Saccharomyces cerevisiae S288C: one gene and its partners. The protein of the gene in region 4 purifies or fractionates together with the protein of the main gene of each other region. This does not show direct contact. Each region holds a gene or a part of one and is shown on either strand. Other genes may lie near its edges. The genes, in order: NOP2, NUG1, TIF6 and HAS1.

What was found.
Region 1: the proteins of HAS1 (region 4) and NOP2 purify together in Saccharomyces cerevisiae (affinity purification with mass spectrometry; 7 studies listed by BioGRID, with this or other methods). This does not show direct contact.
Region 2: the proteins of HAS1 (region 4) and NUG1 purify together in Saccharomyces cerevisiae (affinity purification with mass spectrometry; 9 studies listed by BioGRID, with this or other methods). This does not show direct contact.
Region 3: the proteins of HAS1 (region 4) and TIF6 purify together in Saccharomyces cerevisiae (affinity purification with mass spectrometry; 5 studies listed by BioGRID). This does not show direct contact.

The regions. Positions count from the first base shown.
Region 1 is NC_001146.8:508,899-512,896, forward strand, and holds NOP2 (rRNA (cytosine-C5-)-methyltransferase NOP2), read left to right. Parts: upstream 1-1,641; coding exon 1,642-3,498; downstream 3,499-3,998. Other genes in the region: tRNA 1-methyladenosine methyltransferase subunit GCD10, read right to left, coding at 1-1,314; actin-related protein ARP5, read right to left, coding at 3,770-3,998. UniProt on the Saccharomyces cerevisiae protein: S-adenosyl-L-methionine-dependent methyltransferase that specifically methylates the C(5) position of cytosine 2870 (m5C2870) in 25S rRNA. Required for 60S ribosomal subunit synthesis and processing.
Region 2 is NC_001137.3:160,565-165,536, forward strand, and holds NUG1 (RNA-binding GTPase NUG1), read left to right. Parts: upstream 1-2,158; coding exon 2,159-3,721; downstream 3,722-4,972. Other genes in the region: YND1 (apyrase), read left to right, coding at 1-1,878; PAC2 (Pac2p), read left to right, coding at 3,963-4,972. UniProt on the Saccharomyces cerevisiae protein: GTPase required for 60S ribosomal subunit export to the cytoplasm.
Region 3 is NC_001148.4:590,584-594,991, reverse strand, and holds TIF6 (translation initiation factor 6), read left to right. Parts: upstream 1-1,922; coding exon 1,923-2,660; downstream 2,661-4,408. Other genes in the region: RLF2 (Rlf2p), read right to left, coding at 1-516; guanine nucleotide exchange factor DSS4, read left to right, coding at 1,075-1,506; YPR015C (uncharacterized protein), read left to right, coding at 3,966-4,408. UniProt on the Saccharomyces cerevisiae protein: Binds to the 60S ribosomal subunit and prevents its association with the 40S ribosomal subunit to form the 80S initiation complex in the cytoplasm. Is also involved in ribosome biogenesis.
Region 4 is NC_001145.3:848,999-854,008, forward strand, and holds HAS1 (ATP-dependent RNA helicase HAS1), read right to left. Parts: upstream 2,594-5,010; coding exon 1,076-2,593; downstream 1-1,075. Other genes in the region: aminodeoxychorismate lyase ABZ2, read left to right, coding at 1-811; protein kinase TDA1, read left to right, coding at 3,632-5,010. UniProt on the Saccharomyces cerevisiae protein: ATP-dependent RNA helicase involved in 40S ribosomal subunit biogenesis. Required for the processing and cleavage of 35S pre-rRNA at sites A0, A1, and A2, leading to mature 18S rRNA.

The DNA of each region.
Region 1 (3,998 bases), on a different chromosome or scaffold from region 4:
ACCACCTTTCATGGTCATCAGAGGGTGTAGCTTACCCCTTATACTTTGGTACGGCCTACATCTAGTTTCCAAAATTGATGGTGCTAAAAACCTGAGGTCTGAATATAAAGTATGAGCTAATTCCAACAAAGTTTCTTTGAATTGACCATAGCATACAATCGGCCTTGAACCATGGATTTTTTCGGCCAACTTTGGCACTAGTGTTGGTAAATGTAGTGTAGTAGCCATTACAAGACCGTCATATAGGAATTCTCCTGTTAGTTCTAAAATTTGCCATTGTGTATTGTACCATCTGAGTTTTCGGTAGTACGAGTTTTTCTTACCACCTTTTAATGCACGGGCTTCTTCTTTAGGTAATGGTGTAAATCTGCTCTGAATCTCTTGTAGTGTAGGCGGTTCAAAAAAATCTAATAGAGAAATGGTGTGTACATGCTCTTTAATAAATTTCTCAGAATAATTAGCAAACTTCAGCAAATCCAAGTTGGCATGTTCATTTTCGTGAATAACTATGACTTTGCCCTTGGATTTGCTTTCATTGTCACCGCCAAACATTCTTTCCAACAGAAAGTAAACCAATAACCCACCCGTTTCATCCATACAGAGATAGTTGCCTTCTGATTGGATGTTCGCAAGATTTAACAGCATCCCCATCGATTCCTGAGACATATCCAATACCCTTTGGATATCGCCTTTGTCGATTAAGAATTGTAAAAGGTTAGAGCTACTTAAATACTCAACGGTGAAGTACTTGGCGAATTTTTGTTTCTTCCTATTCACATATTTCTCTTGAGAATATACGGTCTTGTTGTGAAAACTTTTGTGAGATTTGATAATTTTGTCGATTATTTCTTTACTAGATAAAGATTCTTGTTTCATTTTTTCAATTTCTTCAACGGTTAACTCTTGGGCCTTGCTGCCCATGTTAACCAGATTCTGATTCGTAGCACTGCTGTCAATGCTAGACAATTCAAGAGACACAGATTTTTCCTTAATAGATAAAGGAGGCTCGCTTTGACCATCGTCTTTATCATTATTGACATCTTTGATCTCCTGCGATAATAGCCTTACTTTCCCGATGGGAATTTTGTTCTTTGGTTTCGAATCTCTATTTTCATCGGATGAAACCTCTTCGCCATCATAATATATCTCGAAAGTCAACCCGAAAGGATAACCAATTATGTCATTAACCTCGAAAGCACCGAATTTTCCTAATGATACAGAGGTGTTGGGCTTTAGTTCCACTATCTTGTAATTTTTTGATGGCAGCCGGACGATAACGTGCTGATTAAAATCTATGGTTGTCAAAGCATTCATTGTGCACTAAATTCAAAGTTTTTTTGTCCAATTCGTTTGCAACAATGTGAGTAGGATCCAACGTGCCAAAGAATTTAAAGTTGAATATTATTATTGTTATTATACACCTCATCGACTTTTTTTTTTTTTTTGATGAAATTTTTCAGATTTTACAAAACCGTTACCCAGTTTCACGTTTTCTGAAAAAAATTTTCATCTCATCGCAGAATAAGTTTAAGATGAGCTGAGCTGCAAATACAGTTGTCGCTAAGGTATATAGATTTGTAATTCTGGCGGAATTCCCCTTGTGTTGGCTAATATTAGAATTACATATACATATAATAGGAAATGGGTAGTAGACGTCATAAGAACAAGCAAGCCGCCCCACCAACCCTGGAGGAGTTTCAGGCAAGAAAGGAAAAGAAGGCTAATAGAAAGCTAGAAAAAGGAAAGAGACCTTCTACCACGCAAGGGGATGAAGTTTCTGATAGAAAGAAAAAGAAGTCGAAGCCATTCAAGAAATCTAGAAAAGAGGAGGAAGAAGTTGTTGAAGAGGATAAGGATTTGCCAGAAGTTGATCTTGAAGAATTATCAAAAGCCAGGAAATCTTTATTTGATGATGAAGAAGATGACGATGAAGCAGGATTGGTGGATGAAGAACTAAAAGATGAATTTGACTTGGAACAAGAATATGATTACGATGAAGATGAAGATAATGACGCCCACCCAATTTTTTCAGATGACGACGATGAGGCTGATCTTGAAGAACTAAATGCACAAAACATGGAAGCTCTTTCTAAGAAACTTGATGAAGAAGAAGCTGAAGAAGCTGAAGAAGCCGAAATGGAGTTAGTGGAAGCGGAGAACATGCAACCAAGAGCAGACATATTGCCCACTGAGGAGCAGGAAGAAATGATGGCACAAGAAACTCCTAATTTAACTTCCACAAGAACAAGAATGATTGAAATTGTAAAGGTTTTGGAAAATTTTAAGACTCTTGGTGCAGAAGGCAGATCGAGAGGAGAATACGTTGACAGACTTTTGAAAGATATTTGTGAGTACTTTGGTTATACACCATTTTTGGCGGAAAAGTTATTCAATCTATTCTCACCAGCAGAGGCGATGGAGTTTTTCGAAGCCAATGAAATTGCAAGACCAATAACCATCAGAACCAACACCTTGAAGACCAGAAGGAGAGACTTAGCTCAAACTCTTGTGAATAGAGGTGTTAATCTACAACCTATTGGTTCTTGGACTAAAGTTGGTCTTCAAATATTCGATTCCCAAGTCCCAATTGGTGCTACGCCAGAATATTTGGCAGGTCACTATATTTTACAAGCGGCATCATCTTTTCTACCAGTTATTGCTCTAGATCCTCATGAAAATGAGCGTATCTTGGATATGGCAGCTGCTCCAGGTGGTAAGACCACTTATATATCAGCTATGATGAAAAACACAGGTTGTGTTTTCGCTAACGACGCCAATAAATCTAGAACAAAATCTTTAATTGCTAATATCCACCGTCTAGGCTGTACCAACACTATTGTATGCAATTACGATGCCCGTGAGTTCCCTAAGGTAATTGGAGGTTTTGACAGAATTTTACTGGATGCCCCATGTTCCGGTACTGGTGTTATCGGTAAGGATCAATCTGTCAAGGTGTCTCGTACCGAGAAGGACTTCATTCAAATTCCACATCTACAAAAACAATTGCTTCTATCCGCCATTGATTCTGTTGATTGCAACTCGAAACATGGTGGTGTAATAGTATATTCGACATGTTCTGTTGCAGTGGAAGAGGACGAAGCTGTCATAGACTATGCATTGAGAAAAAGACCGAATGTCAAGTTAGTCGATACTGGTTTAGCGATCGGTAAAGAAGCGTTTACTAGTTACAGAGGCAAAAAGTTTCATCCTAGTGTGAAATTAGCGAGGAGGTACTATCCACATACGTACAACGTCGATGGGTTCTTTGTCGCTAAATTCCAAAAGATCGGTCCATCTTCGTTTGATGATAACCAAGCAAGTGCAAAAGAAAAGGAAACTGCTGCTAGAAAGGAAGCTTTGGAAGAAGGTATCATTCACTCTGACTTCGCAACCTTCGAGGACGAAGAAGACGATAAGTACATTGAAAAGTCTGTGAAAAACAATCTTTTGAAAAAGGGTGTCAATCCAAAAGCTAAAAGACCTTCTAACGAAAAATAAGTTCCCACAAACGTAGTGGCATCATGTTAGCATAGTTTTCTCTCTCTAATCTTTCTCTGTCTACATATATATATATATATATATATATCAATTTCAAATATGTCTCACTGTATATTAAATTCAAAATAGAAATAATAAAGCCGATTTGTAAACAGCACTAAGAAAAAAGGCGATGATATTACTTATTAATATTCGTTGCCAATATAGTATTACATATATCTCTATTTATTTCTCTTTTTTTGTTTTTAAGGCGTTTCAGTTTGCTGTCTCCTTAGTCTTCAAAATACTTCGTATTCCCTAACTTATGCTCTTTGATGTACTCTGGACCGTACTCTTCGTATTCTTTCTTACTGATAACTGTTTTCCTATACTGTTCTTCGTTTCGTGCTAGAGCTGCCATACCCTTCCAGGCATCCAATGAAGGATCTGAAGACATATTTACAGTGATATTGGTACCGGTAGGAAGGAATCCAGTGAATTCCTTCACAATACGTTCTTTC
Region 2 (4,972 bases), on a different chromosome or scaffold from region 4:
ACTAATGATCGGTTTGGTATCGTCATAGATGCAGGGTCTTCGGGTTCGAGAATCCATGTGTTTAAGTGGCAGGACACGGAATCGCTTCTTCATGCAACAAACCAGGACTCACAGTCCATATTACAATCAGTACCTCATATTCATCAAGAAAAAGACTGGACTTTTAAGCTGAATCCAGGCTTGTCGAGTTTTGAAAAAAAACCTCAAGATGCGTACAAATCTCACATCAAGCCGTTACTAGATTTTGCTAAGAATATTATCCCTGAATCACATTGGTCGAGTTGTCCCGTTTTTATTCAAGCAACCGCGGGCATGCGCCTTTTACCTCAAGACATACAATCTTCCATTTTGGATGGTTTGTGTCAGGGGCTCAAACACCCTGCAGAATTTTTGGTTGAGGATTGCTCAGCACAAATTCAAGTCATTGATGGTGAAACCGAAGGTTTATATGGCTGGCTTGGCTTAAACTATCTATATGGACACTTTAATGACTATAATCCAGAGGTCTCTGACCATTTTACATTTGGGTTTATGGACATGGGCGGTGCCTCTACTCAGATTGCGTTTGCACCGCATGATTCAGGAGAAATAGCTAGACATAGAGATGACATCGCCACCATCTTCTTGAGGAGTGTTAACGGAGATTTGCAGAAATGGGACGTTTTTGTTAGTACGTGGTTAGGGTTTGGTGCCAATCAGGCTAGAAGAAGGTACTTGGCTCAGTTGATCAATACCCTTCCAGAAAACACAAATGATTACGAAAATGATGACTTCTCTACAAGGAACTTGAATGATCCATGTATGCCGCGAGGAAGCAGCACGGATTTTGAATTTAAAGATACCATATTTCACATCGCGGGTTCTGGGAATTACGAACAATGTACAAAATCTATTTATCCGTTACTTTTAAAGAACATGCCTTGTGATGACGAGCCGTGCTTGTTTAATGGTGTTCATGCTCCTCGAATAGACTTTGCCAATGACAAATTTATAGGTACTTCTGAGTACTGGTACACTGCCAACGACGTATTCAAACTTGGGGGCGAATACAACTTTGACAAATTTAGCAAAAGCCTAAGGGAGTTTTGCAATTCCAATTGGACGCAAATATTAGCGAACAGTGATAAAGGCGTGTATAATTCTATTCCGGAGAATTTTTTGAAAGATGCATGCTTTAAGGGCAATTGGGTCCTTAATATACTTCATGAAGGGTTTGATATGCCTCGAATAGATGTCGACGCAGAAAATGTCAATGACAGGCCCTTATTTCAAAGTGTGGAAAAAGTCGAAGAACGAGAGTTATCGTGGACACTAGGCAGAATTTTACTTTATGCCTCAGGTAGCATATTGGCAGGTAATGATGACTTCATGGTGGGTATTGCGCCCAGTGAAAGAAGAACTAAGCTCACTGGTAAGAAATTCATACCTGGCAAGTTACTGGAGTCTGATCAACTACGCAAGCAAAGTTCCAGCCTTTCTAATAAAGGATTTTTGATGTGGTTCGCAATTATTTGTTGCATATTTTACTTGATCTTTCATAGGTCACACATAATCAGAAGACGTTTTTCCGGTCTGTACAACATTACCAAGGACTTTAAGACAGGCATAAGGAGAAGGTTGAAATTTCTAAGGAGATCAGATCCATTTTCCAGATTGGAGGAAGGTGAACTTGGAACAGACGTAGATGGCTTCAAAGATGTGTACAGGATGAAGAGTAGCAGTATGTTTGATCTTGGTAAGAGTTCAGCCACAATGCAAAGGGAGCACGAACCACAAAGGACAGCAAGTCAGTCCGCTAATCTCGCTCCGTCAAACTTACGACCTGCGTTTTCTATGGCTGATTTTTCCAAATTTAAGGACAGTAGGCTATATGATTGAATGTGGTGGTGTATGTGCCATAAATAGAAGCGCATATACTTCTCACATAAATATATGTATATATCTAGTGAGGTGCCATAGTATTGCATTAACAGTGATTCACGTCACTCTAAACGTCGCTTCTGTTTTTTTTTTGAAATTTTTTTCTCACAGCTGCTGAAAATTTTCGAGCGAGGCGATGAGATGAGCTAATTATATCAAGAGGGAATTGTACTAGTAATACTTTGGTACACACAAGAACAAGCATATAGGTATACAGTCACGACTATAATATCATAAAATGAGAGTCAGAAAGCGCCAATCTAGAAGAACATCTACCAAGTTGAAGGAAGGTATTAAGAAGAAGGCTTCTGCCCATAGAAAAAAGGAAAAGAAGATGGCTAAGAAGGACGTTACTTGGAGATCAAGGTCTAAGAAAGACCCTGGTATTCCTTCTAACTTTCCTTATAAGGCTAAGATCTTAGAAGAAATAGAAGCCAAAAAAATGAAGGACTTAGAGGAAAGAGAGCTTGCCAAACAACAACGATTGGAGGCTAGGAAAGCTGCCAAGGAACAAGGCGTTGATGCAATGGATGAAGACATGATAGAAGACGATGAAAATGGATTAGCAGCTTTGGTTGAGTCTGCTCAGCAAGCAGCTGCTGAATATGAGGGCACACCCTCTAATGATGCAGATGTTCGTGATGATGAATTGGACGTCATTGATTATAACATTGATTTCTACGGTGAAGATGTAGAAGGCGAGTCAGAACTTGAAAAATCTAGGAAAGCTTATGACAAGATTTTCAAATCCGTTATTGATGCTTCTGATGTCATCCTATATGTTTTGGATGCCAGAGATCCAGAGAGTACAAGATCAAGAAAGGTGGAAGAAGCCGTCTTACAAAGTCAGGGTAAAAGGCTGATTTTAATACTGAACAAAGTTGATTTAATTCCCCCACATGTATTGGAACAATGGTTAAATTACTTAAAGTCTAGTTTTCCTACAATCCCATTAAGAGCTTCTTCTGGTGCAGTCAACGGAACTTCTTTCAACAGAAAGCTAAGCCAAACCACTACTGCAAGTGCACTGCTAGAGTCGCTGAAAACTTACTCTAATAACAGCAATTTGAAGAGATCTATTGTAGTGGGTGTTATCGGTTATCCAAATGTTGGTAAATCATCTGTTATCAACGCTCTTTTGGCGCGCCGTGGAGGTCAATCAAAGGCTTGCCCAGTCGGTAATGAAGCAGGTGTTACTACCTCTCTGAGAGAGATCAAAATCGACAACAAGTTGAAGATTCTAGATTCTCCTGGTATATGTTTCCCAAGCGAAAATAAGAAAAGATCGAAAGTTGAACATGAAGCTGAATTAGCTCTTCTAAATGCTCTACCGGCAAAACACATTGTTGATCCGTATCCAGCTGTCTTAATGTTGGTAAAGAGACTAGCTAAATCAGATGAAATGACAGAGAGCTTTAAAAAGCTGTATGAAATTCCTCCTATTCCTGCTAATGATGCAGATACGTTTACAAAACATTTCTTAATTCACGTCGCTCGTAAAAGAGGTAGATTAGGGAAAGGCGGTATTCCAAATCTTGCCAGTGCTGGTCTTTCGGTACTTAATGACTGGAGGGATGGTAAAATTCTTGGTTGGGTTTTACCAAATACATCGGCAGCTGCATCTCAACAAGATAAACAAAATCTAAGTACTATAAACACTGGCACTAAACAAGCTCCAATTGCAGCAAATGAATCCACCATTGTATCCGAGTGGTCCAAAGAATTTGATTTGGATGGATTATTTAGCTCTCTTGACAAGGCCATAGATGCTAGCAAAGATCAAGATACAATGATGGAATAAATAAGTCATATGTAAGGCTATTTTTATGTAAGGGGTGTTTCTTATTTTTTCTTTATCATCAAATAACATTACTGTAAATTATAGGTGTGCTTTTAAACTCATTACTATACATCTTATTTTTTTTAGTTTTACTGCCTTTTTGCTCTTTGGACAAAGAAATCATTAAAAAGTTCCAACTTTTATTATGTTTCATATATAAGATATACAAAATATAAAATGCAAAACGAATTTCAGAGATAGCATGACTTATGAAATTGGGGACAGACTCAAGATTGGTGGATATTTTTGCACCATCAAATTCATAGGTGTTATTAAGCCGTGGCCTTCGGTAAAAGCTTATGGGGTGGAATGGGACGATCACAGCCGGGGAAAACATTCTGGAACAATAGATGACATACACTATTTTGACGTTCAAATTCCTAATTCAGGATCATTTTTGAAGGAGTCTAAGATTAAATCTCCAGGTGTACGCAGAATTACGTTTTACGAAGCATTGTCAGAAAAGTATGGAGGCTCGAGTAATAACATTAATGACCTATCTATAGGTAACAAAAGGGTTGAGGGTTTGGGATTCGATGAACTAAATGCGAGAAATAAGAATTATAAGAAGTTAAGAAAAATAGCTTTGCGAGATTCCGATGTCGCTATATTGTTTCAAAATCAAGATGAGTTAAACCGTGTAATACAAAATTGTGTGAACGTCAAGGACCTTGATTTATCGCTTAATCTATTCACGAATATCAACTCTTTATGTGAGTTCATAGAACCTTTGAAGAACTTGGAGAGCCTTAATATATCTCAAAATAAACTTTTAAGCGGTTGGGACAACTTGAAAGAATATGACCTATCACACATCAAAACTTTACGTCTGTCTTCCTGTGGTTTAAGTTATAAACATATTGGTAAGCTGCTCAAAAGCTTCAGGACACTGAAAATGTTGGATTTAAGCTATAACAACTTGACCAGTGCGGGAATCCAAAATTTTGAGAATGAAATACCGTGTACTTTGGAGGAACTGAATATTAGCGGAAATAATCTTATATCGTTTCCATTGTTTCCAAAAAATTTGACATTGAAAGGTTTAAATGTCTCCAATAATCAAATTTCTAGAGCACCAAGTATTGCTATTTATTCTGTTGAATCCTTGGATATAACAGATAACAAATTTAAGGAAAGAAGTTTGATAGATGATTTGAATAAGACATTTCCCTCTTTGAAAAATATCCATCTGAGTGGCAACGAATTCAACTA
Region 3 (4,408 bases), on a different chromosome or scaffold from region 4:
CTTTAGCTCTTTTTTCTTTTTCTCTTCTTGTCGTAATAACTCTTTTCTGTGTTTCTCTTCTGCACGTTGCTGCTTTTTTAGTTCCTTTTCTCTTTTAGCTTCTTCCTTTTTCGATGAGGAAAGTTCTCTCTTAGAGCATGGAGAAGAGCTTCTGCTTTTTGTCTCGATAGCTATTATATTTCCATTGGGTACTTGTTTGTTGGTGTTTCTATCGTATTTTGTACTTTGTATGGGTGAATTTTTGTAGCATAAAAGCTTGTCTTCAGCATTGGCCTTCTTAGGTGTCGTTTTCATTTCATCTGCACACTCTTTATTGATGCTTTTCATGGTTTCTTGTTTAACAGTTTCTATCATAGGTCCACTGACATCCTCTTTAGGATCATCTAGAGTGATGACATCCTTCTCTTTCGTGAGAAACTTATTACTCTTTACCGTAGTTGTATTCTGGAAAAAAGATAGTATGCCTTTTTTCTTAGTGTCGTCCTGTAGAGGAATTGATTTGAGATGTTGCTCCATTTTCCCTTTTCCTTTCGATTCTCTTCTGTCTTGAGGTTCACTAAAACATATAATTCTCTGTAACAGCAATAACAGAATGTTCTTCTCCTCAACGAATTGGCTGGAAAAATGATGTATTTCAAGAAGTGGAACCAATAAGAATTTTATTTTTTAGTCAGTTCGCAAACCTTTTGGTTTAACGATGTAGATCTTTCTTTTTTTCAGTTGAAGCCTTTCACGCGTCCGAACGCGTGAGCATATATGCAAGCCGTCTGACACTATAGATCGCGCCAGGTAGGGAACCACTTGATCCAGCACGATGAGCCCGACAACTCAAAACTCCCTTCTTCTGTATCAAAATACTTTTCAGCATATCCATATCATTCTTCCTTTCTCTTCGTAAAGGCTGACTGGGCGCCGGGGACCCGCTAGTTTAGTAGTACTGTGAATATCGTCATTGTCGTACTGAACGATTATATATCGATCATTTTAATTAATGAAGTACATATCAAAAACTTGACTGGTATGAGTAGAAAGTTCAATTAAAAGGGCTGGAAAAATGGGGGAATAACAGAGAACATGAGCAAGGCTACGTGTTCCTTTGAGGGCTGTCATAGTGCAGTTATTACCATCAACGATGATAACATAATAAACTTACCAGAGCAGGTGCACAGCGAATTCAAGTTGCTGGAAAACAGAACTATGCGAGATGCTACCCCCAGCGAGAGCAACTTCTTGGTCGTCCCTGATGTTTGGGACTTTGATAATGTTGGTGTATCTAGAGAAATTCCTTCTTCTATATTAGGGGATTTGAGTGATAAGAGTGATTTTGTCTTTGAGTATGGTAATTCCAGCTGGAAGATTAAAAAGTGCTTGAAATATTTGATATGCGCTGATTGTGATAAAGGTCCTATTGGAATAATATGTAAGGTGCAAGATCAGACAAAGAATGAAGAAAGAGTTTTGCATCTACTAAGCTTGCGAAGCCTTCAAATTATGGGAAGGAATTAGTTTGGTAGGCACTAGAACAAAAATAGGTTGCCGCCACCAGAAAAAAAAAAGAGTAACCAACCACCTATTTCACTGGCATGGGCCACCTATAACAAGCTATAGAAGTAGTTCTGGTTTACATTACTAGCATCACTTTATGTAATAATATAGGCATTCTGGACGAAATCCTAATGGATGAGCATTACCCGTTTTTTCCGAGGGCCAAACGAAAATTTTCGGAAAATTTTTATTAATTAAAGATTTAAACCCATATTCCTTTGTGCAGATTTTTTCTTTTACTGTATGTAACGCAATATTCAATATTGCATAATTAAAAGAAGCCTCATCCCTCGTTGGTCTTATAGTATAATTACAAGAAGCAATACGACAGAGTATTTGGAACAAGAGCATAATTCAACTAACTCTAGAAAACAATAATGGCTACCAGGACTCAATTTGAAAACTCCAATGAAATCGGTGTATTCTCCAAATTAACGAATACTTACTGTTTGGTTGCTGTTGGTGGTTCTGAAAACTTTTACTCTGCATTTGAAGCTGAATTAGGAGATGCTATTCCCATCGTTCATACCACTATTGCTGGTACGCGTATCATCGGTAGAATGACCGCGGGTAACCGTAGAGGTCTGCTAGTTCCAACCCAAACTACTGATCAAGAATTACAACATTTAAGAAATAGTTTGCCGGATTCCGTTAAGATTCAAAGGGTAGAGGAAAGACTATCTGCCTTGGGTAACGTCATCTGTTGTAATGATTACGTTGCTTTAGTGCATCCAGATATCGACAGAGAAACTGAAGAATTGATAAGTGATGTACTAGGCGTTGAGGTCTTCCGTCAAACCATATCAGGTAATATCTTAGTTGGGTCATATTGTTCTTTAAGTAATCAAGGTGGGTTAGTGCATCCACAAACAAGTGTCCAAGATCAAGAAGAATTGTCCTCCTTATTACAAGTTCCTTTGGTGGCTGGTACCGTTAACCGTGGTAGTTCAGTTGTCGGTGCCGGTATGGTTGTGAACGATTACTTGGCAGTTACAGGTCTGGATACTACAGCCCCAGAATTGAGTGTTATTGAAAGTATTTTCCGCTTGCAAGATGCCCAACCAGAATCCATTTCAGGTAACCTACGTGATACTTTGATTGAAACCTACTCATAGATGTCAGGTACTCCTGAGGGGATTCCCCTCCTTCCTCAAGTCTGTTTACAGTTGTATGCGAAAGAGTCCCCATGTTGCAATAATCTTCTTACGTATCATTTGTGGTATTTTTTTTGGTATAACAAATATTTTTTCTTAGGTTTCTATGCATTTTAATTTTAGTTGTATGTATATTATGTACTCTTTTATTTTTTTTTTTTTTCTTATACCTATGGGTGACTATTCATTGCAGTTTAAGTAGGCGTCTTAATTGTAACATGTAGTCACTTTGTTCGAAGCATATGTAACGGGTTTCTAAGCAAATTCTTTGCATAATATGGATTTTCCGTCCGCTTCTCCGACTATTCTGACAACTTGCTCAGTTCCAAGTATCTGTTAGACAATATAGAACTTCTCCAAGAAAAATTGCACCGCACGTAGACCATTTGAAGGCTTTTTTGTCTAGCTGCTAGGACATACTATTGTCTCCACCAGAACCCGGAGAGTAGTATCTCTTGGCAAAGATTAATAAAATCGAACAAAGCTAATAGAACACCGGGGGTTGTGCGGTAAGATTTTCACAAGCGGTACAGAAGTGAGCCGTAAAATTATATATATATATATATATATATGGTGTACAACAAGTCAGCCGTCCATTTATGTGCTATCAAGCGAACTACGTTTCATCTCTTCAACTTGGTAGTTCTTGAGATATAAACACCCTGATCCATCGTACTCACTGAAATAGCAACAACTCCCTGAGTTCCATTGCCACGCATACCCACTCTCATATCCAGAAACAGCTAGTATTTCGATGTTTTTCCGCTCGAAGAAACTTCCGTAGTATTGTTGAGGTGTTGGGGGCATCGTTCCTTTTCGTACGCCAAAAATTCTTCCTCTATTGTTTCCAGAAAATCGTTGCAAAAAAATAAGTCCGCCACGCTGTTTTCTGTGACAACTCTATCTGGAGCCTTCACTAATGGTTTAAAAGGCACGATTTCCACAGAAAGTTTCGCAGCACTTGTTTGTACAAGGAGCGTAAAGCACCGGAAATCTTTTCCCACTGAAACCCTAAATATGAACGGCATTTGGTTGCCATGAGATACAGTCCCAAGAATTCTTTATATTATATAAGCGCTAGTTGTTGTCGCTCTTTTGACCTCATTGGTAGATATTTCAAATTACAAAATTATAATTGTTTTCTTGGTCCAACTTTTTTCTTCTTTTTGGAGGGCATTGCAAGGATCCAATACGATAAGCAAACGTCTTCATTGACCCGTTTCTAACTTTTAATATACATAAATTTTCATCTTCAACACTAATTAAATGTGGAGAACAAAAACGCTAGAATCTATGCTTTGTAGCCCAATGAAATGTTCATCGTCTAACATAGGGGGATCCTATGCGCAATCTTCAAAGGAAGTCTCGAACACGACCAAAAGGGAAGTGCATCTTCCACCTTGTTCGTCGATTATGCACGCTCCACTTACTCCTGAAATAAACCAGGCCGCACTACCACCTCCCGCTTACCATTACGCACCTTCTTCTCTGCATCAGACAGAGGATCCCGTATGGAGATCAAGTCCCAACTCTATTATCTTTTCGCCGGTTATAGCAACACCGCAACCTTTCCCTTTAACGTTCGTTGAACGTCAATCTTGTTGCCCTATTTATTCAACGGCAGCTTCCTCTTATACTGCCCAATCTGTACCTCCATCAATGCAGCATTTTCAGGAGGAAAACCACAGAGCGGTGAGCAACGAGCAGTA
Region 4 (5,010 bases):
CCAGCGTGTAGAAGATATGCTACAAGTCATTTATGAACGATTTTTTTTATTAGATGAACAATACCAAAGAATAAGAATAGCATTATCATACTTTAAAATTGACTTCAGCACGTCTCTGAATGATTTATTGAAGTTATTGGTTGAAAACTTGATTAATTGTAAAGAAGGAAATTCAGAGTATCACGAAAAAATTCAAAAAATGATCAACGAAAGGCAATGCTATAAAATGCGGGTACTTGTCTCTAAGACAGGAGATATACGAATTGAGGCAATTCCAATGCCTATGGAGCCTATCCTAAAATTAACAACCGATTATGACAGTGTTTCCACATACTTCATCAAAACGATGCTCAATGGATTTTTAATTGATAGCACAATAAATTGGGATGTTGTTGTTTCATCTGAACCATTGAACGCATCAGCTTTCACCAGTTTTAAAACCACTTCAAGAGATCATTACGCTAGGGCGAGAGTTCGCATGCAAACTGCTATAAATAACTTAAGAGGTTCAGAACCTACTTCTTCTGTCTCGCAATGCGAAATTTTATTTTCCAACAAATCTGGCCTGCTGATGGAAGGTTCAATAACAAACGTGGCTGTAATTCAAAAAGATCCTAACGGTTCTAAAAAGTATGTGACACCAAGATTAGCAACTGGATGTTTGTGCGGAACAATGCGTCATTATTTATTGCGGCTCGGCCTTATTGAAGAGGGAGATATAGATATAGGAAGCCTTACCGTTGGCAACGAAGTTTTGCTTTTCAATGGCGTCATGGGATGCATAAAGGGAACAGTGAAGACAAAATATTGAGCAGACGACAGATTTTCATATCAATGAAGTTTTTTTACAATAGTTTACAAATCATGATTTTACATACTCAAATATGTGCAGGTTGATACAGACAACGTACGTAGAAGACAACAAACAGAAAACAGCGGTTTATACATTTATTTAAATGACATACAGTGGAGAAGCAGAGAAAGGAAAAGGAGTGCGATGAGAACAGAAGATGAATACTTCGGTTGTGTTGGTTCCACGTACACATTAATAGCATTAAAAATTGATCCTCTGAAATTACTTATGAGTTTTACGTCTTTTGGTATTTGGCGTTTTTCCACTGGCACCAATTGTAATGTTAACCTTTGGAGGGACTGGAAAACCGTAAGACTTTGCTACTTTGGCTAAATCCAGCTTATCGATTTGATAGACAGTTTTCAAAGAGTGGGAAGCGTACGCTTGTAAATAAGATCTATAACCATCCTTGGCTGTTTGATGTAGATAATAGTTGGATTTAATTAATTTTTCTAATTGTGATTGAACGTTTGCAATTTTGTTTTCCGGGAATTCGTACTCATTTAATGGGACCTTGGAAGCCTTTAGATATCTTAAAAACCCTAATTCATTAGGTGTTAAAAACATTAAAGATTTACCCTTACCTTTAGTGCCTCTTGCGGTTCTTCCGACTCTATGAATATAATCTCTTGGATCATCAGGAGGGTCGAATTGAATGATCCAGTCCACAGCAGGGATATCTAGCCCTCTAGCTGCGACATCTGTACAAATCAAGATACCTCTTTCCGCATTACAGAATTCGAAAAATGTATTTGTTCTCTTTTGTTGTTTTTGCTTACCGTGTAATTCGAGGACTGGCAAATCAATATAGTTCAATAATTCAGCGTAATATTTCACAGAGTTACAAGATGATAAAAATACAATAATTTTCTTTTTTTGATTTCTTTTCAAGAAAGAAAATAACAACAAAAATCTCTTATCACTGTCACATACCACATAGCCTTGTTCTAATCCATCTGCGGTGGAGTTGTCGGTTTCAGGAACGACATTAATGAAAAGAGGGCCCGGTCTCAGCGAGATTCTAGCCAAATCCTCAACTTTGGTCGTTTGTGTAGCTGAAAATAACATGGATTGCCTATCTTCGTTTGGCAAGATCTTAATTATCTGCCTCATTTCATCTTCAAACCCAATTTCTAAGATTCTGTCCGCTTCATCGATAATCAAAGCCTTCAAGTTCTTGAATACAAATCCTTTTGTATTTTGTAAGTGATCCAATAATCTTCCAGGGGTAGCAATCAACATGTTAACACCTTTCATCAATTTTTCGGCTTCCTGTCTTCTATTTGCACCACCAATGACAATACCAAATGTCTGTGAATGGAATTCCATTAACTCTCTTGCCACTCCAAAAATCTGTAAAGCCAACTCTCTTGTAGGCGTAATGACAATTATACCGGTACCATTTCTTGGTTTGAATTTCAAAGAATGCAATAGTTCAATAGCAGGGATGAGAAACGCTAGAGTTTTACCAGAACCTGTCTTGGCAGCACCAAGAACATCCCTACCGGCCAAAAGAGGTGGGATAGTCCTTGCCTGAACAGAAGTCATAGTGGTAAATCCCATCTTTTCAATGGCCTTTAAAGTTGGCTGTGATAACTTTAGTTCTTCGAACTTTTCCACACAAGTAGTTTGTTCTCCCTCAGGTGCGGCATTGTTTTGTTTTGAAGTGCTCTTTTCATCTACTACAGGTTCTTCTGTAGATTCAGAATCTCTAGAACGTTTATTTGACGGGGTAGCCATACTTCTCCTGTTAATATTGCTCAGCTTATCTAATTATTATAGTATACAGTTATCCAATAGCTATGTACTCAAGTACCGTGTATACACTATAAAATCTCATCTCATCGCTAAAGCTAATATTGAAAAAAAAAAAAAAAAAAAAAAGAAAAAGCAAATAAAAAATTTTCAATTCGGGTAACGAAGAATCGACTCTCGCCGGGTAAACAATTCTTAGTCGTCATACACTCCTCTTTACGTTAAGAAAATAGAAGTAGCAGCGCTTTGTAAAGCATTAAAGCGTCATGGATTGCAAAATACACATAATATATCACTTGTGATAGTGAGAAATGGAATGAAGTGGTTTAAGATGCTCTTTTACCAATAAACATATTGCGCCTATCAAATCATTTTCCACCCCTGTTAACTGATACAGATATAGCCTTACATATAACTTTTGCACTCCCTAAAATTACCATGGCTGTTCACCGCCTGCTATCATCCATGTTTTTACATACATCTATTAGGTTTGCCATCTTAGCCGCCGAAGCTATCGTTGCCGGTACAGGCGCTCCTTGAATAACCCCCTCCCCCCCACGCTATTCTTCAAATTCCGATTTCAGCTTCTCTTTGTTTTTCCTTTTTTGGCACCTCGGAAAAACCTCCACGTGTTAGGTTATTCCGCCGATTCCACGGGTGGGGTGCTACCAAGACTCCTGAAAAAGAAACTGTATGACGAAAAGAAAAAAAAAAAGCTGCTTGAATTCCAACACCGCTTTCTTGTTCTGACAATAGAAAGGGGGATTCCTAAAAAAAGAAAAAGAGGGCGGGGTTTATCATGTACTCAGAATATGAAAACGTGTCGAACGGGGATGACTTCTTCTGCTTCTTTACTTCTTTCTATTTAGAGTGACAGTTTTTTTATTTGTTTTGCTAACTTGTTTATTTATTAATTTCTTGTTTGCTCCTTCAGTTACCTACCACGACTGTCTCAGCCAAACCGCGATATTTTCATACAATTGACATTACAACAGTTCAAAAAGAAAAATACACATCCAGGATATGACTACAGCTAGTTCTTCTGCTTCCCAGCTACAACAGCGCCTGCCGGAAGAAAAACCTTGGCCGCAACTGAGTGGCAGCAATGCAGACGCTCAAACCTTCAAATGTAAATACGTAACCAACCACAACTCCTTGGGCGATGGGAATTTTAGCGTCGTGAAAGAATGTATGAATATACACACAAAGGATTTGTACGCGATGAAGCTTATTAAGAAACAAACTGTCAAGAACAAAATTCAACTTATTCAAAGAGAGTTCGACCTTTTGAGGTCAATAAGCGAGAAAATCAGAGATATGGAAAAAAAGAATGAACATTCTTTGGACATTTTTGAGGGGCATCACCATATTTTACAACTTTTCGACTATTTTGAGACGGCAGATAACATTGTCCTGATCACTCAGCTGTGTCAGAAGGGAGATTTGTATGAAAAAATTGTTGAAAATCAGTGTTTAGACCTCGAAACTCAAGTTACCTCGTACTGCGCCTGTTTGGTGAGCGTTCTCGAGTTTTTGCATTCTCAAGGTATTGTTCATAGAGACTTGAAAGCAGAAAACGTCTTATTCAGATTGAGAGTGAACGAAAACGAAAAAAACCTACAGGGTGAACACCACGGAGATTTCAAATACGATCTCTTGGCACACGACCTAGTTCTCGCCGATTTTGGTCTTGCTGCTGAATATAACACAAGTAAGGTAAACTCGTTAAAGGAGTTTGTTGGAACCATCTCGTATATTGCTCCAGAAATCGTCAAGTGCAAAGGTGTCGGTGAAATGACTCCTGATCAAGTTGGCAAACTAGACAAGTATGGTTGTCCGGTGGATATATGGGCCCTTGGTGTACTGACATATTTCATGGCCTTCGGCTATACGCCCTTTGACTGTACCACAGACGACGAAACTCTGGAATGTATTTCAAAATGTGACTATTACGTCGACGAACAAATGATGCACGACCCTAAATACGAACAATTTTGGAATTTTGTTCAATGCTGTTTTACTATTGACCCGGCCGTTAGGCGTTCTGCTAAGAATTTGAAACAGCATCCCTTTATTAAGGATTATTTTGCTACTTCAAATTCTTTGAATACTAAGGACACGCCGAATTTCTCCTTTCATCCAACAATAAGAAGGGTATCTTCTACAGCGTCCATGCACACATTGAGGTCTCCTTCCAAATCAAGAAAGACAACTACTCTAGCGTATTTAAATATGGATGGCGGGTCCTCTGAAACTTCCACCGCCTTCAGCAGCAAGATGGATTTGCCTGACCTTTACGTTGATAGAACCATTAATTCTCGTGAAAGATCATTGAATAGAATTCGAGACACTCTGAAGAAAACATTATCCATGACATCTCTTAAGCCTGCAGGCACATTCGA